2 linked regions of the Drosophila melanogaster genome follow. The gene in region 1 interacts genetically with each later gene. Each region holds a gene or a part of one and is shown on either strand. Other genes may lie near its edges.

Region 1 (15,665 bases):
AAGGTCTCCTCACACGAAAACCTTGAAAAGGGTACAAGAACAGGGGCGTCAATTGAACAGGGGTCTGTTGGGTACATAGTATATGATTATAAATATGGTTTGTACTCAATGATATTAATTGGGATTCAAATAATATATACTAGTATGATGAAAATAAAACTTAAACGATCTAGTTCCTAAAAGAAGTTCAAAAGTAACTTTATAGTTTCCTGAATAAACATACATACATTCGAGATACTTTTCCCTTTATTTGGTGCAAGTTCAAAGATTAGGAATTAGATATGAAATTTCCCTTGTCCAGACAGAACTCCATACTCCACCCATGAAGTAATTCCAAACAACTAATTGAAGAGTTTTTAGGCTCAAATGCAACCCCTTTTCTGAAGAGTTCTCGTCAAGCAGGCAGAGCGAAGAGAATAGTGTGAACCTATTAAAATTTAAATACAAAAACAATTATAAGGGAATTTTTATAATTAAATTCATAGAAACATAAGGCCGGCGGAGAACTGGAAACAGCTCAAGATCAACGCATGCAGGCCGACATATTTTAATTATAACTTTAATAAGCCAACTCCACACGCACTCGTGATGAGCAGAAGAGGATTCGGACCCGGAGCCACCCTGGTTTTTGGGAAATCTTGCACCTTTGCAGCACTCCCTGTCCCTGTACGTACACTTCATTATTTGCCACTTTGTATTTAAATCCGTTTTGATCCTCTTGTATGTTTGTGGCTTAACTTTTGCCTCTTTCCGCTTCTGCAGCGACGCGAAGAATAGAAAACTGGAAAATCTCTGGAGGAACACCCGCACGTAGCGGGGTTTCGGGACTCGGACCTCTTCTGACTTTTGTAACAAGATCAACATGTGAGATCGGCAATCTGGCCAACCAACCAGTGGCTGAAATCAGCTGGCATTGTCTTTTGAGCCCTGGGCTCCTTGGGATTGATTCCTCTGCTGATCCAGTTACCGTTTGTCGGCTTGTTTGGGCCCGAAGTTCATATATGTTCCATTATCGCATTGTTGGATCAGTTAAGATTCACTGATCTGATAGACGGCTACCGTATGGGACAGGCCACTGAAGACATGTAGTTAGTTCTGGTTTCCATTTGCACTCCATTATGTTGCAATGTTTGCAGTTGTTTGGGATTAGCTTTGCGCAAGGGATCTAATTAAAGACATTGTGATTTGGCCATTTCTTGGTATTTCGTAAATTTTATAGATATAGACAAACCAGAAATAAACTCGAGCACCAAACTTGAGCATTTTTCCATTTTAAATATTTAAATAAATTTAAATCATATAATTCAGCATTGTGTCTGTCGCACATTTTAGCTTTGTTTGCCATACAGTTTTCTTATTAATTGGCAACCCCTTACCCAAGTCCATTAAAAACTAACCCCGTTTCCAGTAGAATTTCCCACCCTTTTATTCTTTTTTTTTCGCGATGCACTTGAATGCTGTGCGTGCACTTAATCAAAACACAAATCCTTTTAATTTAACACGCGCGCGTTTGCATTCGCGCCTGCCATAATCCTTCCAGTCAGTCAGTCGGCCATTTTCGCGATTTCATGAGCTACCGAACGGGGTGTGGGGTGCGGAAAACGGGAGGCTGGGGGTTGAAGCACCACCCCTTAAGTGCTGGCAGACGCTCGCGGGACAAACACAAAGTGGCGGCATTATTTGTCGCAATCAAATGCTGATGATGTGCCTTGATTATGCGCAGCAAATGTCTGTGAAAAATGACACAGACGACAAACAATGAGTCCCGAATTCGGGGTGGGTTTACCCAGTTGCAAGGGGAAGTTCTGGAAGTACCAAAGACTGGTGGTGGTGGCAACAAGCTCTCGAAAACGTGCCAGGCGACATTGTCGCAGCATGAAGGCGAATATTATTTAAATGGCATATAATAATGGCAGACTCCGGCTGCAGAACGGAGTTCCGTAATGATGCGGCTCGGAAAGTCTCCATTGCGTTTGGCAAGCTCCGTAATGTACGTATAATAATCGCAGTTGCCCCGCCGACAGCTGGCAGTCAGTCGAATCCAATCAGGATGCGCCACCGAGCCGCAGCTTATTATGGCAGCCCATCTAGGACGATATCGCAATCAGCCGGCGCTTATGGCAATTCATTTGTTTAACGACCAACGCTCATGGCCCAGACTCTTGGTAACTGGGTTCCCAGTGGGAAAAGGGACTGGGAAAAACGGCGACACAATCTCATCACAATTATGGGACGTTGGGAGGGGAATGGCCTCAAAGCAAGCACAAACATTTCAATGTTATGAGAACCGCATTCGTTAAAAAATAGATCAATTATAATATGAATATGATGTTCCAAGTCTCTAACAACCATTGGTAATATAACTAAATCGATAGCAATCATATACCTTATATCTACCTTACTTCATTTTCTAGATACTTCAATAAATTGAAGGTCTAAGATCATATTATCGATTTACTAGCACATTTAAGATACGAAGCAAAAATGTAGAACACTCTGATAGCTAGACAACTTAGAGTCATGGCCAATTAATTTATTTTAATTTATGGTGCACATCCGCAAAATGAACTTACCCCCTCGGCATCCACTTTGCTAAAGCACAACTCACAAATCAACCCTCGTTATCTCTCCTTTCTTCAGCTAATTTCGCTTTTATTAGGTTTGGCAATTTGTAGCTGAATTTTCGGAGGGCAGGCAGTCCGGGGATGCTGAATGAATGGCATGCTTTTTGGAGGAAGGAAATCTGGGATATACATTTCATTTTCCTCCTTACATTTGATATTCGCCCAACTGCCGGAGGAAGAATCGCGAACGAAATGAGGCGCAATTTACAGAGCTCGTTGCGTGTAAATTGAGTCATCTGCCAGGACACCCCGCCAAGTTCTCCATGTAGGTACATCCAACCCCTCTCCAGGACAACCCCTGCCAATTGCCAATTGCCATCTACCATTTCCCATTTCCCACTCCCCAGATCCATAACCATTTCCTATTTTTTTTTTTTGTTGGCTTTCGCTTGGCAGCGACATTTTCGAGTAACATGCACAAATTTATTTCATTTGTTGTTCCCAAACCCTCCCTTTCCCTTTCCCTCAATTTCCCTCTCGATCCCTACTTCGCCAGTCAGTCGACCATGTCCGCATATCCTATCCCTACGTATATGCCATTGCTCCCTTTCCGCTTTTCACTCCGCTCTTTTGGAAAATTTAAATTTTTATGAAATTTTCGTTTTTTGGCTTTCATGCTTTTCTACAAATTTACACATTTGTTGGAATTTTTTATTGGCTGTCATCATTAGTTTCGATATGGCCAGGGGTTGGGGGGGCTATTCAACTGCTGGTGGAGTCGACAAGTGTGGGCGTGTAATTTATAAAGTGTTTGCCAGGGGGAAAATTTCGGGGGAGTATATTTATGTTTTCGCTGTGTGCGGAGAGGGGCAAAGATCTGCGATAAGGACGAGAAGAGTAATTGGTTTGGCCATCATTTTGATGGGTGGGGAGGCATATGTGTGATGTGGATGGCGAGGTGTTGAATGCCAAGAGGGCGGTACTTGCTCAAAAGGTCTCTGGGGGTTACTCAAGCGGTTATAAGATGATCCGGGGGATTTTGTATTCGTTTAGCTGGTGCCACGGAATTCGAGCTCGGAATCTACTTAGCTCGGGAGAAATTAACGATAAAGATGATAATGTGTCTTGGTAGAATTTTTATGGGTATTTAGACCATAGAAAATATATATTAATCAGTTTAGATATTTACAATGCACTATCATCATACATATAGTTCTAGGTGTGTATACTATCTTGGGAACATACACGTTGGTAAATAGTTTGTTGCATTTTCTCCACTATCTATAACAACTAAATCTCAAGACCTCACTGTACAAAGGTCCTTGTATCGTTTTGATCTAATCGTACCATGTCGCCTGCTCATAAATCCCGCTCGACCATCCGGATCTGGGCAAAACGATAATGACACACGAACAAAAGTGCCTGTCAGCCAAAATATTACCAAAACGAAAGTGTCAACCAGCCAGGTCAAAGGAGGAGGGCCATCACGAGCAGGGGAGTGGGGGGTACGTGGGGCAGCGCCGGTAAAAAGTCATAAACATTACGTTGATTTTATTTCGGCAACTACCATATTTTTTATGCCCGCAAAAGGATTGTCTGGTTGTCCTTCTGCTGGCCATGCTCGAATGCCCGTTACGGAAAGTGTCATAAAAATGCCTCGAATTTGGAATGGTTTTCCACTATTTTCCACTGTTTTGCACACACGTACTAAGCGGAGGCGATACAGTGTGAGAAATAAGTGTAAGTACAATCACAGTACATAAATCAAAAGAGTTCTTTTGTTTATACGAATATAAAATATAAAACTGTTCTAATTTTAACCAAGTATTCTTGAAATATTCTCTTAATGCCTATTGCATTTTTCCCAGTGCATAGTTTTGGGGCTGCGGGAATTTCAAGGAGAAATCAGACATTTTTATGACATTTCCCTGACTACTGTTTATTCGCTTTCTCCACGCCGCCCGCCCTTTCTTATTTTTCTCGAGCACTTTTCCGACATTTTAAACATTTCTTTTTCGCCGCTGGCACTTGGCCCTTGTCAGATTTTCCCTGCGCTGCATCGTGTCGTTTGTGTATTTTTTATGATTGTCAAGGATTAGATATAAATGTTTTATGATCTTGGCCCGCTACCGCGGTGCTGGACCAGAAATTGTGTTTTAATATGATTTTACGGCTTTGTGGTAACTCGAAATACGTCCAGCTTGATTGGCTCCGATATGTCGTGCCTGAAATTCCAAATGATCCGATCCTTCGGTCTGATGCACCCTTTTCTGGGCTATTCTCTCCAAATGGGATTTGGGCTCCTCTGGAATTCGTTTTCCTGGAAAACGCCAGGCTCATCACTGTACAGTTGTTTGATGTTCTTAGGGCTGACACGCCCCCCTGCCCCCGAAAACGTCGGTCAGTTGCTACCAAGTCAAATTTTCCCATTCCCTACAAGAAAAACGCGTGAAAATGTGGCCACAAAATTCGATGCCGATCCATCATAATTTCTTGGGTCGCGTGGATTTACAAGCGCCCAAATTATCGGCAGATCGTTTTGGGTAAAATATGAAAATAACGCAGAGCTGTGAAATCGATCGATGGTATTCTTGGAAAAGCAGTTAGCGATGGCGCTTGTCCCTCAATCGAGTTGCCAGAAATTAATTACATTTAAACGCTTCGCTCCCCCATCGAGTTTTCCCCGAGTTTGTGCCAATAACACAAAGTATATATATTGGAAAAACCGAGAAAATGGGTCTGAAAACACACTCGATTCAAATGAATCCAAAACGCACACTCTAAACGCCAACTCATCATCATTAAAGTCAATTTTTCTCGTCTTCTGTTGCCTTGTTTTGTTGCTACTCAACAATTTCTGGCCATCGAATCGAACAAAGGAAAATTTGCCACGTTTTCCATTGTTTTCCCAGCGAGATAAACAGAAAAAAAAACAAAATCGACGAAAAGACAAAAAGTGAAACTGCTGTTTTTTTTTTTCTCCATCCAATTTTCAGCTGAACTGGCATCGGGAATTGGACTGGCATACTGTAGATTTATTTTCTGGATGGAGGGAGGTTCGAATAGGTGAAATTGCATCACGCTGTGCCTCGGTTTCTGTGGAATTGTTTGCAGGCTGAAAATTGTTGATTTTGACACCTTTCGGGCTGCTGCATTGTGTTCCTCTTTATTTCCATCTAATAAATGCATTTGTGCCCTTTGTTGGCTGCATTTTTTACGGTTTTCATTCCTTTTTGCGAACTCTGGCGGGGGGTCATCAACTGCCGAGTCCTCCAGTTGGCCACTTGACTGCCGCTGGTCCTGCGGCCAGAGGATATCTTTATTCGCTCATTAGCAGCACGATTGTGCTGGCTGCAGGTCCTTCGAGTCCTGGAGCTCCTGCGGTGAGGTACTCAGCTCAGTGGGCGTGTGAAATTACCGAAAATACAAGGTAAATTGCGTTTTCTTTCAACTCAATTATGCTTGATTCGTCGAAATGTTGGCCGTCTGATTGCAAGGATTCTTCTAACCACAATTGATTAAATAGATATCAGAGTATTACTTCTAAATATTTATTTAATTTAATATTTTTGATATTTATATTTAATATTTATCATTTCGACCAATACTTTTTTTACTTATAATGAAGCTTTCACAAAATCAAAACTAAAGCTCAGATGCCGAGTTTCAAATCGAATTAGCTACACACACGTTTTGCAGATTAGACCGCAAATGAAACCGACTCAGCTAAAAATCGCTGAACTTTCGACAGCATTTCGCCTTGTAATCAAAATCCATTAGTCAACATAATTACGCTTTAATGGACTCGAAAGTTGTTTATGCCTTGCGTCGATTCGAACCGAAAGCTATGGGTAAATATGCGTGGCTTAATTAGCGGCCATAAAAATTTGATAGATTTTAATCTATCGCACAAGCTGTTGTTGTGCTCTCGCCGATTCCTAGCCCATTAATCTCAGAAATCCGGCGACGAATTTGACGGCTCCGGCTGATAACAGAGTGTGAAAATAGCACTACCGAATATTATTCCATTGTTTTTGAAAAACTCTTGGGGTTTGATAGGAAATGTTATAGTGTTGACCGAGGAAACGAAGTGAGACATTTGGCACGTCCCGACAATTGATGAACCTGCTCTGATTTTGATTTGGAACTGCGATTCGGACACTACATAAATTATGCAAACTTTGTCGTGTGCCAAAAAAAAAATGTAATGCCTGAAAATTAACATTTAAATCGTAGCGAAAAATAAACCCGGTAGCACATTTCATAAAACTGTCCCGATCAAGTTTCGTAGATGATTTATGGAAACAGCAAGTTTGAAGTGCATCCGTGGTGTGGAATTGCTAATGTGGACTGGATTGTCAGCTGTACGAAAACCGGGACGTTTTAAAATAGGGAAAGTTAATATATAATATCATAAATTAAATAAGTATTTTAAATTATAAATTTTACGCCATGTTGTTGAATGGGGTTTACGAACTTTAAAAACACCATTAACAAAATACTTATATTCCTTAATCTTTAGTTTTATGCAGAAATATATAAAGAGCGTCTAACAAATCCTTGCTAAACTATAAATTTGCACAACAAAAATCCCCCTGAGCAAGGGAAATATTTAAAACGCACATCCTCTGTAAGCCTCGAAAACCCTTTTCGAACTTCCTGCAAATTTGGCCAGAGTCCGCAAACAGAGACATTTTGCCCACCTGGCATTAGATTTCCATTTAGCGCTCGTTCCGGCCCAGAAATGCAACCGCAAAAACAAGAACTATGAATGGCAGTTTAAGCCAAATTACACAAAGGCCAAGAGCAACAACAAAGTCGTATAGTGGTGGCTGTTTGAACGGAAGCCATATGCAGAAAATTCGGTAAAGGCAGCGCACCGAACTGGACCCGCCCCTCGAAAAGCAGCCATTTCACTCGCTCCTTCGCAGCTAGGCCATATCTGCAGGGTAGATAAAATCCACAAGGCGCGCGCAAAGAAGACGGCCATACTACACCGAGCACAGTGCCTCCCGCTCTGGCCCGATAAACTGGTTTGGCCTGTACTGGCGAAGAGAGAAGACTCGCCGCAGCTCAGCTCTCTTCGAGTAGCGCACACTTGGTGGTGTTGCCGGGCTTACCGGATTTATTCAGACATCGAACGTCGTCGAGAGCACACGTCTATATTCTCCGTCTTCCGACACAAAAAATAAGAAAAACGAGCGCGTCGATCGCCGTAGAGCACAAGTCTTGACAACCCGAGTGTGTGTGTGATTAATAAAGTAACTAAACGTATATATGAAAGCGTTTCCAATGCGTCGCTTAGTGTGAGAAAATCAACGAAACATAGAGAGTTACAAATAAGGACTTCCCAGAGGATTAGACAAACAGAACAGATTAGATTAAACAGAAAACCGTGCTTAAACCCTCGAAAAAAAAGCCGCCAACATAGCCGAACTAACCGCCGTATTTATGACTAAGATGATTCCGCCGGTTCCCACCGCCGCTGCAGCCGTCATGATGCCCACACCAAAGCAGAAGATCGGTTTCAGCATCGAGTCCATTGTGGGCAATGATGTCAGCACCGCCGGCGGCAATTCGACGCCCGATCTATCCGGTCCCCAGAGTCCGCCGCCCGGCGAGCGCAATGTGCCCGGTTCGCCGCCCCAAACGCCACCAGCCACACTCACCTTGATCCCAGGCTCGCCCCCGCACCATCTGATGGCTCCTCCTGCCCACGGACTGCCCTATCCGCATCCGCATGCTCAGCAGCAGCATTTGCAGGCACCACATCCGCATCCGCATCTATCGCCTGCGCAGCAACATGTGCTCCACCAGCACCTCCTCATGCAGCAGCAACATCCGGGCACACCCAAGAGCCACCAGGACATTCAGGAGCTGCTGCAGAGGCTGCACCACAATGCCGCCATGGCCAGCGGCCTGAGTCCGCTGCAGACACGCCTCTCCCCCGAAACGGAGCAGCCCCAGATGGCCGTCTCCCTCAAGCGGGAACGCTCACCTGCACCACCTGCCATGGAGCAGGCCGAGAATCCCGCCCAGCGCATCCAGCCACCGCACACGCCTCCCAAATCCGTGAGCCCCCAGTCCTCGCAGCCCTCGTCTTCGCCCACTCTGCTGATCAGCAGTCCACATGCCACACCGCCACAGCAGCAACAGCAGCAGCCGCCCCCGAATTATCCAAAGCCCGCCATGATGCATCCCGGAGGAGCTGGACCCATGATGATGCCGGGCATGCCGCCCGCTGGACTCGTTCGCCCCTTTCCCATGGGACCCGGAGGACCACCGATGCCGCAGGGTCAGCCCGGCTTGCCGGACATCAAGGCGCTGCCGCCCTACATCAACGCTCCGCCGGAGCTGCCGCCTCAGCACAATCCGCATCTCATTGCCGCTGCCCAGTTCCAGATGGCCGCCGCCCTGCAAGCGGGTCATGTGCTTGGTCCAGCGGCCGCCGCCGCTGCTGCCGCCGGCCTGCCGCCCCATGCCGCCCAGTTTATGCCCAATCCAGGCATGGCCAGGGATAGCTATCAGCTGTACCCCTGGCTGCTCAGCCGCCATGGAAGGATCTTCCCACACCGATTCCCTGGAAGTAAGTATCTTTTGGAATGATTCTTTATATGCGAAACAAAAAAAGGAGATTTAGGGAAAAAAATAGTTCTTGGAGTCCAAATTGAAGCCAAAAAATGAGAAATTTCTTTAAAGTAATAATTCTAAACCTTCATAAATGTAATAAGAAATGAAAGATGCTAATATGTTTTAAATTAGTTTTGATGAGTCTCTTATAATTGCATTATATTGTCATTGCTAATTTATTGCTGTGAGTTATGATCTTAAATACCGATGACTAACCGAAACCCTTTCTTCTTTGCCTCTTTCAAGGTTTCCTGGTGCCCCCGTTCCGCAAACCGAAACGCATCCGCACCGCCTTCTCGCCGTCGCAGCTGCTGAAGCTGGAGCACGCCTTTGAGAGCAACCAGTACGTAGTGGGGGCAGAGAGAAAGGCCCTGGCCCAAAACCTCAATCTGTCCGAGACGCAGGTGAAGGTGTGGTTCCAGAACCGACGCACCAAGCACAAGCGGATGCAGCAGGAGGATGAGAAGGGCGGCGAGGGAGGATCGCAGCGGAATATGCACAACGGCAGCGGCGACGAGGACGACGACGAACTGATCGACATGGAGATGGACGAGTGTCCCAGCGATGAGGAGCACGAGCTGGACGCCAGCCACTGAGAGAAGCGGCCAGGAGATAGTCCTGCGGCGGTCCGTGAGTTCCTTATCCTGGCGAATGCAGTCCAGTTCCAGTTATCGAGGGTTCCCAGTCGAATCTCGGCGAGAGTAACATAGTTTGTTTTGTTGTGATATATTCTTAGAGCGATCCCAAGGCGTTAGGCTAAGTGTATATAGATAGGAAAGTATTAGAGACCCTTTCTCTCCATCCACACTTCTCTCTCAAGATCCGTGCCAAATCCTTGCGAAGTTTCGAGGTTGAGTAGAGCTCAAAGAATGCAAGTTGTTTCCTTTCTTTCCCAAATATCAAATGCAAAAAAAGAAACACTGAAAAAATAAACCTAGGCTAGACACCACCAACTATAACTGTACAAATTTTATGACTTAAGCCTGTAAATATTCATGACATTACTTTTAATTAGTGAATTCTTCAAAACAAATCGTACTCGATCCACTAGCTATTGTATAATTCTTGTATATTGTATGACGATCTAGCATTTATTTATGTTTAGTCTTAAGCACGAACCTCTAGAGTCCCTCAACTGCAGCTGGATATTATTTAAAGCCGTCTAATATAAAGCCCTAGTTGCTAGTAACTACATCCTAAGCTAATACGATTGTAAGAAACACAAACGAATATGATCATATAAAATATAAAATATTCATTATGAAAAGAAATCGAAAGAGAAATGTTTGATTGATTTATGTGTTGGGGGCAACCACTTATTATCCAGAATACTAGATAATTTATTTATAATTTAAACAATATTGGTATGTTTTGAGTTATGGGTGTGAACTTTAACTTCTCATTCAGCTTTATTACTTTCCTTCAACAATATTTTACTTTAGTTTATTTTTTCTTGTTTAAGCCTTGGCATCTCCGCCCCTTTTTAATTGAGTTCGTCCCACTGTGTGACAGAGTAAAAAATTATGCGCCGTCAATTAATTAGCGTGTGACATTTAACATTGTTGTTGCTGTTTCTGTCCACTGGAAATGGTGACAGGTGCGCTGGAAAAGGGGATTGAGGGGGTGCGGCCGCGACTGAAAAGAGCGGGATAGCTGAAGGAGGCGGCTATAAAATGCATTTAGCGATCGTTATTTCTTATAGATTTCATAAGCATTTTAATTGCACAATTTAAAATGCAAATCGTGTTTTATTGTAGAATTTAATTGAGCGCAGTTCGTGTGAGATCAAAGGGGCGGGGGTGGATGCTGAACGGGGGCTTTTGGGGGTTGGGGTGGCTTTGGAAACTGGTTAACAAGCCACTCGAGGTGTGCTAATGATCTAAAAGCCAAATTTATGATTATTGAACCACAAATTTATGCGAAAACTGTGGCGGTATATAAGCGCAGTTTTCATTATCGCCAAATCGGCTATCAGCTAACTGAAATCGGCTATCGAATGTGGCCTAATGAATATGCAGTGGCTAATTGCAATGGGCAAACTGCAAACTAGATTGGTCCGGCTGATATGGCTAATTAACGGACATAACGAGTCTAATTACTAGCTGTTAACAGCACTAAATTGTGGCACTCTGTCAAAGGTCCCCCCCCTTCAGTATTGAAATCAGGGGGGGTTTTTGGGGGAACCTATCTATTGCAAACACAAAGCTTACAATTGCAATAGTCGTAAATCAGAGTGGGCAAATTATATGTTTCATCGGTGATCGAAATCGCGGCTTTAGCCATAAACCTTTCAGCTAATGGCAAGTCTTGTTTGCTTAGCAAACACGCACCTTTGATGGAAACTTCGAGATTCCAATTCAAGATTCAAGATACACGGCCCATCGCGAGCGGGAACTGTAATTAATAATGGGGCTGGGGCACGCCCCCTGCATATGGGATTGGGGGCTTATCTGCTGGCCTCCTTTATCCAATATCACTCTTCAAATGTTTCTGTAGAACAAAACACACACTGGCGCAAAGGGACGGAGAGAAAACGAAAGCCGAAATCGGAATGAAATCCCTTGCTGATAATTCTCGGAAATTAAAACACAATTTGGTAAGTTGTTGGCTGTTGATGATGTTATACATATATCGAGCATACATATGTTTGTACAACTTGTTTTGCCTCGTGGCTTCGCTTTTGTTGTTGTTGATTTTCGAATGCCTCAAAAGGTTTGTTATGCGGCGCGCCCCAAAAAAAGAGATATAGTAATAATAATGCCAACAACAACGCCGCATTCACTTTATGGCCAGCACCACGCACCACAACTGGCTGCCCGTTGTTATTGTTACTTATCCCATAAAGTTTATTAAGTAATCCAATTTGGCTAAATTAGCTGTGTCTCGTCTCGAAGTTATTTCGGATTTTAATTGAGTTGCGGCTTGAGTTTGAGTTTCTCTTTGCCTACCCTCCCATCTCCATTCATTGCTCATTATTGCCTGTTGGATTTCACCGATCGCTGATCGATCGCCGGCATAATGCAAATTGTCAAGCCAAGATCGAGACCCCAACCCCAACCAGAACCCCTTGGCCCCTTAATGGCCATCCTTTGGAGTGCAGGGCTCAAGATCGGGACGTGCCATATCTCGGTGTTCTGTTTAATGTGTGTTTCCTGGAAGATTAATACGGCGAAATTAAGGAAAATAAATAAATGTCAGCGCTGTACAAGATCGTTATCGCATTTAACAATAATTACCCTGATATGGGATATGCTAACTAATCTGTTAAGCCCGCTCATTCCGGCCAAGGATCGTTCCGAGATGCGTTGCGATGTGCTGGCCAGGCCAACAGGTTTTTGGCCCCAAACGAAACGACTGTTTAGTGCTTTCCGTTGTCGCCCGAAACACCAGACATCATCGAAGGTGTCGCCGGCCGCTTGTTGTGTTAAATTAAGTAATTAATTTTAAAGTCCATGTTCGGTCCGTTTGTCTAACGAAAGACTTAGGCGACGAACTTTTTGGGGCCGCCACGCTTGTTAACCCCACTTCCGTCATTCACTTTTGCCTCGGAGTCTTGCGACTCGATCTTGATCTCGATCGGCCGACTTCAATTGCTTGTAATTTACAGAACGATTGTTCTCATTCCTCGGCGGGCACTTCCTGCGGTTCGGCTAGATTGGCATCACTTTTCCATACCCTCGACATTTTGTTTGTCGTAATAATAATTCGTAAGCGTTTTAATTGAATGATCCGACGGTGGGCGTCTCCCGCTCCTTAACCACACAAGATATATAAGATATACACTCCAGATCCGCTGTGTCATTGCCAACTGCTCGACATGTCCCGGGGTAAACAGAATAAACATTTGACTCGAATTTGGGCCCTCAAGTGCTTAATTAAGAGCCGCAACAACGTCTCGTTTTGGCTCTTGTTTATTTAACAATTTTCTGCGGCCAGGGTCCAATATTTTGATGTTTTCTAATTGCCTCAATTATGCTTCGCTCTCCGGGTGTTTTTTTTGACTGTTAGATCACGGATTTCTGGCGCCAGACGCCGTCTCTTTCATATGCAAAGTGCCTTACCGATCAAATATCGAATGCTTTAATTTGGTATATCAAAGAGAGACATTATGCTGCTGCTGCCAATCTCAGACTCCCTGCCCCCTCCCCCAGATCGTAAAAGCGTCAAATTTCTCAATTCTCGGTTGCCCATTACCAATTCCCGATTTCGTGGCCAACTCCATGGGGCGTCCTAATTGTTGATATGCATCTCGGTTTCTCTGCCACTCAGTTATTGGGTTCGTCGAGAGTCGCTTAATATTATTTGGTGAGTTTTATGTTTTATTTCGAATTAGCCGCATAAATATGCACTCTTTATGACAACCTGATGTCTGTTGTTACTGTTTTATGCTCGCTGAGCTGGAGCGCCCACGCTGCGTATGATTGTTGGCATTTCAATGATCGATACAGTGGTTTAAATTGGTCAGAAGGGAACTGAGAATTATAGTTTTTAATAATATTAGAATTTGTTTCTTATAATATTTATTAAATTGAATATATTTCCAGTTCAAGCGTTTTGTAATTGTTATACATTATATTTAGTTTAGTATCAACCCACTGTGCCGCGATTGACCATCGAAATAAATGCCATTCCACGCTGCCCGCAGTGCAATGCATTATTCAAGCGCTGGAGAAAATCCCGCCTTGGACATTTAGCTGGTTAAACAATCAATTAGTGACGACCGCAACTGAATCGCTGATGCCGTTATTGAATTATACTCGAAGCTATCAGGGGGCCACATACAAATGTGTATGTTCGTAGGACCCATGGCACCGCTCCTCCCCAAAAGGTATAACCCCGCCCTGACAGGCCAACAAATGCTCGGATTGCGTGCCAGCCTCAAGTTGGTCTGGCTAATTATGGGTTTGCCATTTGGGGCCTGCATATGGGTTCTAGTTCTACACCATGTGGCTCAATGTAAGGTATACATGGCTTTGTAGTATAGTGTAGCTTATCGGAGTGCTCGGTGGTCCGGGCCAATGAGGCGTCATCTAATATATTGCAATTACAAGCGGCAATTAGTCAATTTACCGGACTCGAACACGAAACGCTTTTCGTATAATTAAAAGCCAATTAGAATATTTATTATGAAAATTGCCCAACAAATGTGCATAATTGAAGCGATGTGAATTCGTTTAAATTACAGACCGCTCCAGCGATTTCCATCTAGTTGGCAGCCATGAGAACCTCCCAATGGGGAATCTACTGTCCGATATGCCCCCATCCAGTTAGTGGTTTTCTATAATTGAATCAGGTACTTCCTGCGAAGCAATTACTGCCACGGGAAGCGTATTATAGGTTTAGTTTCGATGATTAAGTGCACTGATCTTATTAGCAGCTTTTTTAGGTAAACAAAAACATTAACACGCCCTGTAATTGTTGGCTTCATTATTTTCAGACCAATTTTTATAAGCAACTGTGACATAAGACTTAAGCAGCTATTTGTACGTACACATTTATCAATTCAAAACAAAACCTAAACTTGTATTATTTTTCTGATATCTGATTATTCTAATAATTTACCTTCTTCTTCATAATATACACATTGCCTTCTGCAGTTAATAATCCACCTGTGCTAAAGAGACTTTAATGCATAGACAGGTAATTCGTCACTTAGTTGGCTACTGGCAGTGAATCGAAACACCCACACTCGGAGCTTCATCTATTCACACTTTTGGGGGTTAGGTCAGGTCTGTCGTATGCCCAAATATTAATGAATTAACATTTGTCACACACACGCAAACAGACGATGAAAATATTGAAAAATTATGCAGCCAAGGCAATCAAACAATTAAATATAAATTTGTGGTATTCACGCCCCGAATCGAGGAAAGAAGCAGAACGAACCCACAAAAAAGTATCGAACAAAACAAATGAGTGCGTCCCTGATGTTGATGACGATGTTGATGTCCGTCGTCCGATGTTTGATGGCATTCCAGTCGAGCTGCTGTTGCGGCTGAAAATTCAAATTCGTTGGAAAATAATATTGTCAGCATAATGCCCGTAGATTATTGGATAGTGAGCTGAGCACACCCAAAACGATTCCCAATACAATTTTGACAGCGTATTTCGTAATAAAGTGGAAAATTCATTGAAATCGAAGTCAGGCAGCAACGGCAAGTGCATTTCAATTAGATGTACCTCTTGGGGACCAGGTTCTATTACCATTTCTAATTAATCAGACGCAGAGGGTGAGGGAGTGCTGCTTTATTTTGACATTTTCCACGGATATTAGATTAACATCGTTTTAAAATCAAATTAAAACATTAGACAAGGCCCACCCCTGGCAAACAGGATTGTCTAGGGTTCGTTTCGGGTTCTCGGCGCTGGGTTCCCTCTTTTTCTTGGCCACTTGGCTTCTATTTATCACCGTAACGGCAACTGCTGTTTTTGTTTTGCCTAGCGTAATTTAGATAACAGGTATGGCCAGCA
Region 2 (15,648 bases), on another chromosome or scaffold:
AGAGTCCGTAGAGAAAAGTTAGACACCCAACTCTAGAGTTTCGTAGTTTCAACTAGCCACACAAAAAGGATGTTAAGCTGTACTCAAGCCACTTACTATCGCTCTGGCTACTTCGGCTATCGATAACTATCGTACTGTTCTAAGCGCACTAACCGACACACACAAACACAAGACAAACACACCCACACACTTAAAATGATAAAAGTCAAACTTAAATATTAGATACTATATCTGTTTGAATATCTTGAATGAGTGTTCGCACCTTTCGTGGTAAGAACACATACAAATTGATGTACATTTTAATAAGTAAGCGATATTTATCGATGACTTTCTTCAAAAACATCGATAAGTACCGATTATTATTTAAGCTCGACAGCATTTCTTGGGAATAAGCATTCCCCTTTTAACTGAAAAGTATTTCTCCAAAACTAGTCCACAGCAACATAAAAAACCTGAAATTCAAGGAACAAGGAATTCTCAAGTGGGTTCAAAACAAAGAAAACCAAAGCAAACAAAACCAAAAAAAGTACACAAAAAGCAAAACTTTAATGGGTCACAGCCAGCTAAGCAGTCCAACTAAATGTAATAAGACAAAACGACAAGCACAACACTTATGTAATTCAAAACAACACAGCCGGAAGATAGAGCAGGAGTAACTCTATAAGATTTTAATTTAGTCGTCTATTGGGTTCATTTGTTGAGGAGGCCACGATTGAATGCCAACGAGGAGAGCCATTTAAATTGAATTACATACGCCAGGGACCACAAAATGTCTTTTTTTTTTGTCTCTTTTTTATATAAACGTGTAAACACAATAGGAAATCCTAGCAAAGTTAATGATAATATTGCCTAAAACAGGAGAGTGTTATTGACCAGAAGGTAGTCATCATATAATCATCGATATACCCTTAGCCAGGCACCCATTATATAGGCCCCATTCCCGATATATATATATATAAAAATCTTTATATATACAAGTATGTCTAACTGATTTCTTACGTACCACTCACTCTCGGTTCAATTGTTGTCAGTCAACGAAAAACTCTGTGAGTCAATTATGTATATGGATCATTTTTAATCGATTGTTTTTAACTGAAGATATGCCAGATGACCGATTTTGACCTACTCTGTATTGTACTATATTGCATTGAATACCGCGAATTGTTGTCGTTGTTGATTTTAAATTTTAAATTGCTCGTATTTAAGTTACCGATATTTTTGTACATTAGTTTAAGGTAGCGCATAATAAGTCCCACGAGTCTAGAGTAAATTCCAATATAAATGTATAAATACATTTTTTTTCCTCCTAATTGCTAATTTCGCAATGTTGACCGAATACTAAAGAAAATGTACTTATAGTGAAATTATACGCAAAAAATAATTTAAACTAAACTAAATGAGAACTAAACCAAAGCAAAAATGAAAACAAACAGAGAAATTAGCACATGTTAAAGAAGCGCAAATAAAAGTGAATACAAACGAATATGACAACAAACTTGCCTTCGGTTGCGAGTTACTTTGTAGTGTGCCAAATCTACATCATATCAGCTTTTACTCACCACAAGGTATGATGTTGCTGCAAAATAACACGAATCCCAAATTCGAACACTAAATGAAACCACGAAAAACCGATGCAAGTGAAGCTAAACCCCCCAGCAGGCAAGGTGAAATATGAATGAGAAATCGAGGCAAGCAGAACTTATTTGAATAAAAGAAGAAAATGTAAAAAAACTACGGAATAATTTTATTTGGATGGGCGGTATTCAAAACTATTATAATATTTAGTTTATTTTAAAACATTTCAATTGCTAACGACTAATGCAAATATAATCAATAAAGCTTACTTTATATGGGTAACTCTATCATCAGCCACCTATTGGGCACTTATGGAAACTATGAAAGAGATAGGCGCCTGCGCAAAGTTAAAAAGCCGCTTAGGTGTTGCCCAGCTGTTTGGTTATATTTTAAAAGAATATTAGCTTATTGTAATACAAGAATCAAATAGCCTCTTTCAAATACGATACATCATAATCGATAAATGCAAATTTAATCAATAAATATTGCCTCAAGGGGGTTACTGTGGCAATGGCCACCTACTGAGCATTTCTGGAAACTTCATTTGAGATCGGCGCCGGCGCAGAGCCCTCAAAAAGACCCCAAATCATGCCCAGCTGCTGAAAAAAAGGGGTTACTATTGGAGCTTTTCCGCTTCAGTGGCAACGCCATCCAATAAAAAAAGCTTTCAATCATCCCCCAGTGCGATGCTGATGCCGCTTCTTCTTCTGCTGCTGCTACCGCTGCTGCTTCTGCTGCTGCTGGTTGTACCGTGTGGATTCCACTTCCTCCGAGCCGAACAGAAATTCTCGGACACACGGAGCACACGGAGCACACAGCGCACAACACCCAACGAGTGCGAACCCAAGCATTGCGCATACGACGTGTGGGCCGAGTGGCACAAATAAATAGTTCACATTTGTTTTGCTGCCGTTTTTTGTTTGTTTGGCCCTGTGTTGGCGATTGTTGTTGCTGCTGCTGCTGCCTGCCACCGGATTTGTTTATTTTTTTCACAGTGATTTTTTTTTTTGTTGCCAGTGTGTGCGCAAGTGTGCGTGTGTGTTATTGTTAGTATCCAATGTGTTCTTGCCGTTTTTAAACAGTGAATCGCCGCGAATTGGAGCCTTGTGATTGCCCCATTCTTATCAGCAGTTCCCTGAATTGCGATTGTGATTGCGAATTTCTCGCTTGACATGTAGCTGCGAATTCTGGGCGTGTTTGTCGCTGTTCGGTTGGTCGGTTGGTGGGTGGTTGTGAGCGGCGTAAAAGGGGGGACAAGGATCCGGAATCGGTATCGGTGAGTACAACTTACATATACATATGTATGTACATTTATACATTTGTTGAGCAAACGCAGCAAATGATTTGTTTACATTCAAACGAATGGTTCTGAAAAATGAGAAATATGCGAAATGTACTATAAGCGATTCGATTTCTTTCGCCGCAAGAACATTGTTTATTTGATCGCATGCATTGTTTCATCGCACATTGCCCCATTGCTGTGTTTATTTTTGATTATTCTGCACATTTGTTTGGCTTTGGTCTAGCAATCAAAATGCATATTCATTGGGTGAACTGCCCCTTCCACATTCGTTTGGGGGCTCGGTAACCGCTCTTGCAAGCATTATGTAAACCTGTGGGCTGGGCCACCGATTCCACCTGCGATGCCAACGTTGTTTCCGAGTTTTGGGTTCTCTGGGTTTTTTCCTTTTTTTTTTTTTGTATTTCCTCCCATTATGTTGGCTGCGCTAATGTGCTTGGCTTTTGTCTGATTTATGCCGCAAAACAATCAAATTATTGCCAGCCAACCCCTTCTGACCGCCGCACATCGGTGCCGCGAAGCTGGTGGTGCTCATTTTTTATGATATCTCTCTATTTCCCTTTTGCGGCCGCCGAGCCATTTCATTATATAGTCTCTAGCATGCACTGAAAAAAATATAAAATCATCAAAATCATCAAACTCATTGCATATTTTGTGATAAAAACTGAATGGTAGTTCTAAAACTACATAAAACCTATTATATATGATTAATAACATATTAGCTAGCTAATTTTTTGTTTCTTATATTAGCTATTCCTGATCACTTGTACATAAGCGCTAGCCAGAAAAATCTATGGAAATTACACTCTCGCTAATTTCTCGCAGTGCACGTTCAGCTTTCCTATTTTTTATGCCGCTCTCCTTTTTTCCGCCTTGGGTTTTGTTTTTGTTTGCGTCTTGTTTCAGCGCTGAACTAGTTTTTGGCCCACCACCATTCAGCACCGCGATTTCCTCGAAGAGGGTTGGGTGGCTCGAGAAGTTCCGGGGCTGTTCGCTGGTGTTCGTTGGACTTCCGCACTCTTCCGGGGTGGAGAGCCGTATGTCTTATATCATCATACAGCGGCTTTTCCGCCGGCATCCGATGGGGCAGAGTTTATCGGTGGCTCAAGGATCCGTTTGGCCAAGGACGAGTATCCTTCGAACACCCCTCGCCGCCTTTTTGCCCAGCTGTTGCATAAATTTTCGCATTTAGCTGCTTGTCTTTCACATGTGTTTGTGTGTGTGTGTGTGTGTGTGCGTATGTGGGCCTAACATGTGTGTGTGTGTGATGGGGTGTCCTTTTGCGGATTTCGTGAGCGTTTTATGCAGCTCAAGGAATTCCGTTGAAGGCATGACAAGGCTTTTATTCTCTTATTCTCATTCCCCCCCTCGAATGCCCTTTTTTTGAAGGGGTATTTAAGGCTTTGTGCAGAATAAGTCGGTTCTTATCTCAACAGGTCTAGATTATCTCTTATCATTGTCTAAAAGGGTACTTGCCATCCTAATGCATTATTTATAAGTACTAAATAGAGGTCTAGAAATATTAATAGTAACAATTCTATAGTAATCTGATATTTTCCTAATTTTAATATTGGATGAAGAGCTACACGCCTAATGATTTTGGACTGAATGATGATGATTGGTGTTTAGTCATCGAAGACCTTTATCAACGCGAATGACAAGTTATCAATCATTCGAGGACGACCCCAAAAATTAAATGAGAGTACGCTATTCTTGTGCTACGCTGGTCTGGAATAACTTGCCTTTTGGTGGCTTTTCTTTTCGCAATTTTCATTTGCAACCCAAACTGAAGTGCGCCCCATTTCCGCCGCCAACTGTCTGACTGACGGACTTGCGAGTTGTCGGGGTTACCGATTCCATTCTGGGCGGGGAAGGTGGGCAAATGGTCCCATTTCGGCCAAGTCAGTCATGTTAGCCAAGCGGCTTCTGCTAGCCGCACCGCACCGCCCCGCCACCTGGTCTGCTGTTTTTTGTTTCGTTGTCATAACAAAATAAACAGAAAAGAAAGAAAAAAAAAATTAATTCCACGCTTCCTTGTCGCTCCTGTTCCTGGCCAAAATACACAGATAATTGGCTTCATTAATGCGAACATGTTCATTTGAATTATTTTTACATAAACGAGCAACGCTCAACGATGCCAGCGGCAATCCGCAGCTAATAATAAGCCCGATGGTAATCCCAATTTCAGTAATGCAAAGACGGCGATATGGCACTACAAGGCTGGCGCTTTTTCGGTGTCTCGGCAACCATCATCATCTACATCGGCGGCGTCCTGTTCCTCTCCATGAACAACATACCCGGATCGCATCCCAAAAGACCGCGCATCGAACGTTTCGCCGAGGTGAGTCACGAGTGGCACAACAAGCTGACAGCTTTCCCATTTTCCGCTTGGCAATTTTCCGACTGACATGTGACATTCCAAGGAACGAAATGTACAAAAATAGCACGCACTCCGGTCGCAGGATGCGAGGGATGAAATATGTATGTTTATACCCATTTAATGTAACATTTCTTTCAATTTGTATTCACAGTTTCCCAGCTTTCATAGTCCTCGGTTTCCGATGCCCAGCCGCAAGATGACGATACGCTGGTGTCGCGACCTCAAGTACATAAATCGAGATCTTCCAATCTACGCGGATTACAAGTCCGACTTCTACAGTGAGTGCTGACCCACTGAAGTTTGACCTTTCTGTAACCATTCTGTAACCATCTTTAGCGGCCCTGCCCAGTGACGTCAGTGCTGCCCTGCAATCGCTGCCAGCGTTGACCGCCCTGGCCAGTTTTCCTGGCAGCGGTAACACGTGGCTAAGGTACTTGCTCCAGCAGGCCACCGGCATCCTGACGGGCAGCATCTACAAGGACTACGGCCTGCTGAAGACCGGCTTTCCGGCGGAGAACGTCTGCAACAGTTCAGTATTATTGGTGAAGACCCACGAGTGGGGCAGCAAAGCGTGGGCGCCCTTCTCGAAAGCAATTCTTCTCGTCCGCGATCCGGAGAAAGCGATCATCGCGGAGTTCAATCGCCAGAGTGGCGGTCACATCGGATTCGCATCACCGGATCGCTACAAGCGCACCAAGGGAAAATGTATGTTTTGCATATGGGGGCACAAACCAATTAAGTCCAATTAAGACAGTTATGCATTGTTCGGCTTATTATTATTGTTAGGCTTTGCGACTGAGAGCTTTAATATATTGCTAACTGCTTTGGTTTTCATTACAGACTGGCAGCAATTCGTGAGCAACAAGCTCAAGGGCTGGGAGATGATGAACCTCAGCTGGGCGCGCAACTTCACGGGCAGCATCAAGGTGGTGTTCTACGACGACCTGGTCCACCATACGGAGCGGGAGCTGCGCTCCATTCTGGACTTCCTGCAGTTCCCCATCAACGAGCAACTGATGCGGTGCGCCATTATGCGGAAGGAGGGCATCTTCCGGCGGAAGAAACGTCTGTTATCTTTCGATCCCTATACGGAATCCATGAGAGCGGAGGTGCAGAATCGACGGCGCATCGTGTACGGATTGCTGGGGCGTCAGGAGCCGTAGAATATGCATAGGATTATCTATCTATATCTACATTTATCTATAAGAACTATGGGCAACGAGAAGGGATATCGAATTCGTACCACCAAAAGGAACTAATTGAAAGCAGAGAAAAACTGAAAAGCACAATTGCAACGACAACGAGGCACAAAGCAAAAGGAATTGCAACCGAGTATTCAAATCATCCCCAAAATCATCACGACTCGTAGGACCATAGATCTCACTGGGGGTCAGCAAACACATACATACATACATACATACATAGGTAGTAATGCCCCAGCATGTAGTCCCGTTTTTCCAACCAGATCGTTCCCAATCGTTTGCTGCTCGCTTGGCGCATTAGTTCAAATTTGTTATGTTCAAACATTAGATATGGTATTTTATAGAGACGCATAACTTTAGGTTGATATATGTACGTACTCGTGTGTACGTATTTGGTATAGGCTATACAACAAGGTATTATGATTCCTGATCGAATTTATGAAATTCATTATAGGCCATGTTGTGCTTCATCGCTCACCAAAGCTCAACTCATCCGCAACTTATCCTTTGGTCACGTTGAGGTCCCATATTAGAATATCCTTGTAAAAAGTTTTATACACGACTCTACAATAACTTGTGAAATATTAACAACGGAGCCTATTAGATAATTGTACAAAAACGAAAACCAAACCAAACAAATCGAATGAGAAACAATGAAGTGGATTTAAAAAAAAAAACCAAAAATTTAAGTTTGTCATTTTCTGGGTTGGATTTTAAATGGGCTTTAAATAGCTTTTCGTGTGTCCTGGCTGCATTTGGAAAAGTTTTGAAATATAAAAAAACTTGAATTATATATTTTTTGAACTTTCATCTCCTTGTCTTCTTTTATAAGCTTTTCGCGTAGAGTCCTTAAAAGCTTTTATAAGCTGCAAGGATACGTAAAATCCTTTCAGTGTTCGCGTTTAACAATTAAGAATGACCCACAGATGGCGCCAGGAGGACGAAATTTTGATTGAAAAACGAAGCAATAACTAAACTAATTTTAAAAGAAACAATAATATAAAATCAATAAATAGAAAAATATAATTAAATATTTTATTTACTTACTCCTTGGCATCTTAATTTCTTAAATAATATAAAGCACAAGTCTGAAAAAACCTAATAAATTTGTTTGGTGTGTTTTAAAATGTGTACAACATTAATTGATTCTACTTCGAAATATGCTTATCAAATAATAAATAAATGTTTAATTAAACCAATTATTTTTAAACTAATTTAACATATTATTATAATAAAATTGTATATTTTTTATGTTTAACCAGATAAAACTTATAATAAATGGGTTTTGTTTAGCGGTTTGGCTTAGACTATGTGCGTTGCCTTCATCTTGGGCGATAAAGTTAAAATATTAAAAACTGTCTTTTATTTTATAAATAGGTAGGTTCTAAAGGTGGCACCCTGTAAGCCTGGCGTTGCGATCGGGACACCCTGTAGCTGATTTGCCATGCTGCATGCTTTTAACAGTTGCACTGCAACAACTAGGCCTTCGAATCGCCACTCCCCCATTTCGGAACTGACCCACCTGCTGGCTATCCCTGACCCACCTCCTCCTGCGCCAACCAACTACCTCCTCCCCCTCCTCCCTCTATACCTTTCCCCTCGCCTGCTCCATCAGTCCCACTGACATGTACGCCCATTTCTGTTTTGGCATTGTTGGTCCGCCGCCGCGTTGGCGTTTTGTGCCTTTTGTTGAGGCTCAGCGAAAGCCACCCACCGAAAACCACCCACCGGCCACCGGCCACCGCCCCCCACCGGCTCCCCTTTGAAAATCAGAAAAAGAGAGAGAGAAAATAGAGAGGCAGAAATGTGGAGGAAAAAGAATTTGTGCCATATGCTGGACATTGCGATGCTCGGCTTTTCCAGGGCTCCGGCTCTTAAGGGGGTGGTGCTACCCAGTTCGGCCCACTACCACCACCCACTCTCACCCAGCGGTAGCCAATGTGGCAGTGCGCAGACGTCGCACCACTGACGCTGGCATTGGCTTCGTCAAGTTTGGAAGGACTCGCCGGGTAGAGACACACCGACTGCTGCCCAATTCCAGCTGAACGAAGGCGCCGGCTGCGCTGCCCGCTCCCATCGGGCAACCAATCAAAGGGCACGCGCTGGCGTTATATAAGGAATTCGGCTGCCATTTTGAGGCAGCGGGCAGGACACGCCCACGCTGATAAATAATGAAAACATGTCGTCCGCCCCATTGAAAATAAACTCTGAAGTTAGCGAAACTCATCATAGAATTCTTTATCACAACACCACGCGCGCTTGTCTAGTTGTGAAATCTGTGTCCTGTGTCCTGTGCGCTGGCGTTTTTGAAAATTTCGAAAAAATAGTTTGTTGAAGGCGTCTGCAAAAATAAATACACACACATATATGCCCATTTAGCGCGGCGGTACGGTCGAGCGGTACAGAAGCAGAAGCAGAGTAATATCACGCAATCAAATTGCAAGTCCAAGAAACAGGAAACGGAAGTCGGTATAAAACGCGGGCCAACAGCTCCGCTTCGCAAACGGTAAACAGTTTGAACGCCGACGCCAAACCGTTTAACCCGTTTCGAGTGCGCGTAATTCGATTAGCAGTCCAAAAGCCAAGCAAAAAATAAATAAGAAATAGAGAAGAAAATTACAAATAATCAACCGACGGCATTCGGTAACTACTTGGGCAACATTTTTTTACTGTGATTTTTTTCTCAGTTCTGTCGCGTTTCACAAAAAAAAAAAAATACCCATTCAATTTGATGAACTAGCCAACGGGCCAAGAGAATAAATACAAGTGCAGTGCATACGATCGATCGAAGAATCAAAGCCAATATATAAGTAGAAAGAAATATAGTTTAGGGCACAGTTGAGCGGGCCCAGTGCATTTGATATTTGTTGATGTCCTGCATGCAGGACACGTGCTAAGGCTGTCCCAGTAAGTGCTTCAAAATTTACTCGCCAACCACTTTCGACGCCTCCAGGGCGTTCAAGCTGGAGGAGGATTTCGTCGGCGGCTGCATGACAATGTCGATGTATTCGACGACGGATAAAATGAAAATGTCAGCGCCCAGTTGTTTTCCAGGACGCTACAGTCCCTCCTATCGAAGTTCGGAGCAAATGCGTCGCTGCATGCCAAATCCATCTGTAAGTATCCATCGGCACTTGCCGGGAGAACCTCACCCAACCACCAATCCATTCGATTCCATCGATGTGATGCATAGGAGCCCAAGAATGTTTTGGGGGCGCATCCTTTAATTCTCAGGATAATTTCTGTCCAGTTTTGACTTCTCTTGATCTTATTGGCAAATCTAATTGGTTTCACTATGAGTTACCCTAAATTATCGGAAACTACAAACTTTCATATTCTTGGGATTGAATCTCAATGAGAATATTAGTATGTAGTTTAAGGCTATGAGTCCATGCTTTAAATATTATATTTTGTAGAAAGTCTGTATCAATTTCCCTCTTTTCCAGATCCTAAAACTCATTAATAATAAAATTAAATCATATGTTTTTATATTTATTATGCAGATACAACCTCTATAAATACGTTTTTACTATTCATAAATGATGCCATCTTAGGATGCCCTAACTCTATTAATTTGCTCACATATTGTAAATATAATTGGGCTTTTTATGAACACACAAGCGTAATTTAAAGACGTTAAGCACTTAAATAAGTATATATTGACAACATAGAAGATACTTACTATACCACAGAATATCCTTCCTTCTACAGATTCACATCTCATCATCCTGCGATTCTCTCGAGGTATGATTTTCACATTAGTACGATTTCATTTGAGTTCCTCCGAGTCATTGCAAAGCAAATTGAATTTGCTGTGGGATGTAATCAAAACCCTTCTACGATCACAGAACTTCAAGTCATCCTATAGCCTATGAGCTACATCAAAGTGGAACACTTTATGTACATGCTTTTTATTTTAATAACTTGGCTTTCAAAGTGAGTTCTTATAGCTAAAATCAGAGATCAAAATGTATATCAACTTATACAACATTTAAATACGTTTCACTTCACTGATAAGTATTTCGTATATCCGACTACGATTACAACATAAAACCATTGTTATTCTGAAATGACAAGGACAGATTTTCCAAGTATTACCATTTATAAGTTATCCCTTATAATCCGGTTCCTATTTCCGATATGCAAAATACTTTTCACAGGAGCTAGATCCTTCGTTTGCCATTTAAATATCATAGAAAGGGAAAAGTTGCACATTTTAAAAGAACCAGTATGTGTTCCTGTGACCCGCAAATATGGACTCCATTCATACTTTCATTTGCATTTGGCAGCTGAATGAATAAAGGGAATAACGAACTTCCAACACTCCGTTGAGCGATATATAGAGCTTGAGGATGCCGTGTTTTTCCCGTCTGAATGCATTAATAACGAATAATTCGGAGTATTTGGCAGGCGTCTCGGAGTTTCCCAGTGTCCTGCTGAATCATTTATGAGCTTTGAGTTAAAAATTGAATGGGAACATGGGCAGACATTAAATGGTTATTACTGACAGTTCTCAGACAGGTTTATTGATGCCAGTCTGCTGTCCAGGATTACAGGTGCAAAGGCGAAAAGCGAAGAAAAATAAGAAAAGAGAACAGGAAACGGAAATGCCAACTGCAAGTAGTGCACTTCCCATTTTCCGTTCGCGATTATTTCCGGCAAAGCATTCGTCTTAATTACGCCGTGAATGTCGCCTGAATGTTTCCCGGATTTTGTGGGTCCTTCGTTGCCCACGAGGCGAACCCAAACGGAAGGGTTGTGCAGTAACCTTGAAAAGTGATTTGAAATTCATTTGCATTAATTATTTACCAACTATTTGTATGCGCTGCTGACCAGCTAGACAAATAAAAAATGTAAAAGCCCGGGGTAGAAGAACAAAGACGAGCAAAAAATAAACGACCACGACTGAGTGTATATGGTTATAGCATCGTTGATGAATGCGTAGTTTACAGATTAAGGATATATAATCGCGAAAGATACAAATGGAAAGATGCAAGCTAACATAAGATTCTATATATTCCATATATTCAATTATATATTATTTTATTTTTATTACCTATCAATTTTAGAGCAATTCTTTTTTAATTGCATTTATAGCAGAACCAATCTTATGAATTAAATATTAAAATAGGTACGAAGTGAGCAATACAAATAACCCCGAAATAAAGTTACTTCACAAAAATATGAAAATTTTAAAATTGAAAAAAGGCGTCTCTTCCATTTCAATTAAACTTGAAAAACACCAATAAAAACTAAGTGGCAGGCAATTTATGGAGGCAAAAGTGTCTGGGTTTTCCACCAAAGTTATACCACCCATTGCTAGGGCATAAAAAGTGCATAAGCAAATGCGAAAAAGAATGCTCGAAAATTAGTTTGAAAAAAAAAAAAAACAGGCAGGTTGATTGCGCCCGAACAGGTGAATAACTTTTTTCCCACCCCATTTTGCAACCCCGCGCGGCAAGTCCTTAAATTAATCCGACACAGAAGCACTTTAAACGGCAAAAAAAAAAAAAAAAAAACGAGGAAATCACTTCAAGTATATTTCCTTCTTTAAGGGACAACAACTACATTTGCTTATCGGATTTGTAGCCCATGCCCCTTCAACTGGCCGTTAGCCACTTTTCGGCTTTTTGAAAAGCTGCCAACGGAGCAAGTTGAATGATCAAAGCGGCGGATTTATAGGATTTATATGCTACCCTTGGCTGGGCATTAAGTAGTCGGTGAGAAGGCAGGGGGAATATCGTCGTCCGGGGGGAAGGAGGGTGGCACATGCGGCTGAAGAAGCACCTTTTTAGCTGGTTACAAAAACACTTAACGCCTTGCAGTCCATTAAATGGAAATTTGTCGCCGATCCCCTGGACCGAAGTTTATAAACCAAAAGAACCAGAGAAGTGTGTTTTTCAGGGGCGGGTGTTTTTTTTTTTTTTTTGGTTTTTTTTTTGTATCTCTCGTTTTGGAAATTGAGAGGGGAGCTTTGGGCATTTGTCATTTAACTTGAATTGTTTGGCTGGCGCGCTAAACGGACAGCGGCGGCGTTAATTTGATTTAAATATTCATAAACTGCATTAAATGGCAGCGGCATTAAAACGAAACCACCTGGAAAACAATTGACAAATTATTGGCGAAATCAAACGGGGAGTAAAGAATACGGAAGCACAGGAATTTTCTAGTTAAAATATGTGAAATCGAAGGATTAGCAGCTCGGCTAAAATGGGTGGAAAACTATAAGTAAGTCAGTTCTTTGAAAACCTAAGAAAAAAGTGATTTTCAACTATCTATAATCTTTGAATGATATTTCTGCTCAATATCAATATAATTTTTTTTTTATATCATATTAGTTATCTACAGTTGAAAGTGCATAAATTCCAAAAAGTTAAGAAAAATCTAAAGGAATATTATTAGTAGATTATTATACTTTAAACATGCACATTTGCATGCTTTGTTAAAATAATTAGAATTCTGCTGATATCAGAAATAGTTAATATTAAGATATTCGTTATTAATACACATTCATATACTAAGATATATGTAATCTTTAAACTTTCTTACTGCCATTAAAAAAGCTGCTGGTTTTAAAGTATCTAAATTCATACGCATTTAATTGCTCCAGTATTTTTGGCGGTTTGTTTTGCAGCGCAATCGATAAAATTAAGCATTCAGCAATGCGTATCTATTTACACACATCATGAATATTAAATTCCCACAAAAATAAACAACAACAAACAAAAAATTATTTATATAAGCCACACACACACACACACCCATGCATCGCACATACACACACATATATGCACGTAAAGACACCGAGACACACGTGCAGAGAAAAATGAGACAAACAAACAAGTGCGAGACAGAGAGGGAGAAAGGACGAAAGGGAAAAAAACAGTTCACTTGATTAATTTTTCACACTAATAAAGAATTTATGTGCAAGTGTCAGGCTGCAGTGCGAACACCCCACCCCTTTCTCCATGTGTACGCTAGAATATGTGTGTGTGTGTATGTGTGTGTGTGAGCAGGTCAAGACAGTGTCCTGGCCATCGTCTTCCCTCTCCCTCGCTCCACCGTTGGCCAGGATCCTGGCCTAGGTCGTGGCTAAAATGAGGGGGCAAGAGAGACAGCACCATTTGATGAATGACTGCGCATATTAATTCATAAATTAATTCACTGCTGCGTTGCGGTGCCAAAATTTATTGGCCAACAAACTGTTGCGAATTCTGGTCAGGAGGGCTTTCCGTTCCGGATTGCCTCGTCCTGACTGGGCTTAAACAAGGATTTCGGTTTGGGAGCCATGAAAAATGAAGGAAATTTCCAAACAATGTCATAAATATTTAGTGCATATATACTAAAAGAGTTAAACTACAAATTTAATACAATGAAAGGTGGTTCTAAAAAACTTCAAATGTGTTGGTATGATACTAAATCCAAATCCTAGTTTCAAAGCTAGCCAATGGAAATATCTCGAAAACTTCCAATTTATTAAAATGGAATATGCACAATCCTTTGAAAAATATATCCCCTTTAAAAATGTACTAATGAATACAAATTTTAAAGAACTTTAATAGCTACATTTTTGACAACTGTAAGCTGACATAATTGAATTCTAAAATGATTCTTTTTATGTTTTTGAACAGACTTTGTTAGTCGCGACATTTTTAAACTTGCCATGCATATCAGATGAAAAATCGAGTTAGCACAAATAATTGCTACTGTGCAATTCCAACTACTTTCTCTTTTTCGCTCTCCCCTGATCCTTTGTGTCTCGACCCCAGAAGTCTGTCATTTCCTTGGCATCCTGTAATGGGAGCACGTGTAAATGTGGCCATTAAGGTAACACGACCCCCTTTTTGGCGCCCCTGTCCACCTGCAAGTGCAAACAAACTGTCGCTGTCGGATTATTTGCACACCACCACCCACTTCCCACCTCCCTGCCACCCTAAGTGCCACGCCCCCTCTCCAAAGACGCCCCTTTTTAACCAAGTGTAAGCAACCATGGTCGGATGGCTGGCTGGCTGTTTGGATGGTCAAGGAATGGGCCAAGACATCATTGGGAATGCACAACATTTTGATTTCTACGATGGCCGCCGCCCGGTTATTGCGGTCCTTCGTGGACCAAAAGGAGACAGCCGGCTGCGGTGTGAGGGAGACGGGTGCAGAGACGGCACTACACTGCTATAAATTGCACTTCACAACACTTTATTTTCGAATTGCATGTCAGAGTAACAAAATTATGTGTCAACGTTGCAGTACGAACTTAAAAAGATCCTTCAAAACCGTTAACTTTTAAAATATAAGTAATATTAATTAAACTTCTGGTTTTTAATTTAATTTAACTTAGCGAATTTAATTCTCCTTGCCGCTTTGAAATTCTTATTCGGAGTATAATTCATCTAGTCCTAGAATGCTTACAGTGGCCTTAAACTATTTCGATTTCCATTTGTAACTTGTGTGAGATCCTTTTTCTCTCTGTGTAACTGGCTGGTCCTTCGCATTACGCCTTTCGCCTGAAAATGGGCCGCAAAACGTGAGCGATGCCTTTGGCTTTTGGCCATGTGGGTTCCGTCTCATTCACACTGCGAAAACCCCCAACTTTGTTGTCGTCTTTCGTTTTCGTCGTGCGGCGTTTTGAAGTTTTGTGCGCATCTAAATAATTGATTAACTGAAAAATTCGTGCGAGTTTCGTGTACACAAGGAGTTTGCTGCATGCACATGTATAGCACAGATACACATACATACATGTCTATGTATATATACAAATATATATATATATCTATATATAAAATATAAAATCGATAAGACTGGAATAATAAAGACGACGACGACGACGGCGGCGACATGAAGATGAACCATCGGGCACGGGAACCGAAAAACTTTTGATATTATTTATTTAAAAACCCGCTAGTGGGGAATGGCCGAAAAAAAATCGATAGAAAGCCAGCTGGTTAAAGGCTTTAAGGTTCAGGTTAACCAGAAATCTGCAGATACTCTTTTGCCTCTCTTATCACAATAAACAAAAAAAAATAAAAAAACACATATAATTGCTGCAGTGGCAAATTGAATCTATACACAATACTATCGATGTTTGTTCCGTCTTTTCAGAGTCGTTTGTTAGAAGATGCTTCCCTATTATGCAATTCGTGGTCAGCACGTCAGAATGTAAGTTAATATTGAAAACACAACAAAAGTAAACCAGT

The links.
Region 2: of ems (region 1) and acj6, changing one suppresses a phenotype caused by changing the other (phenotypic suppression), as found in Drosophila melanogaster (one study listed by BioGRID).

Annotation. Positions count from the first base shown.
Region 1 is NT_033777.3:13,894,164-13,909,828, forward strand, and holds ems (empty spiracles), read left to right. Parts: upstream 1-7,689; 5' UTR 7,690-8,015; coding exon 8,016-9,150; intron 9,151-9,440; coding exon 9,441-9,790; 3' UTR 9,791-10,457; downstream 10,458-15,665. UniProt on the Drosophila melanogaster protein: Acts as a homeotic selector gene controlling antennal and mandibular segment identity.
Region 2 is NC_004354.4:15,372,114-15,387,761, reverse strand, and holds the start of acj6 (abnormal chemosensory jump 6), read left to right. Parts: upstream 1-8,697; 5' UTR 8,698-9,447; coding exon 9,448-9,573; intron 9,574-10,168; coding exon 10,169-10,201; intron 10,202-15,553; coding exon 15,554-15,610; intron 15,611-15,648. Other genes in the region: CG9164 (uncharacterized protein), read left to right, coding at 5,082-5,216, 5,407-5,533, 5,592-5,960, 6,096-6,418. UniProt on the Drosophila melanogaster protein: Modulates gene transcription; simultaneously generates both a specific activator and an inhibitor of gene transcription, capable of modulating two distinct regulatory programs during neural development. Has a role in olfactory behavior.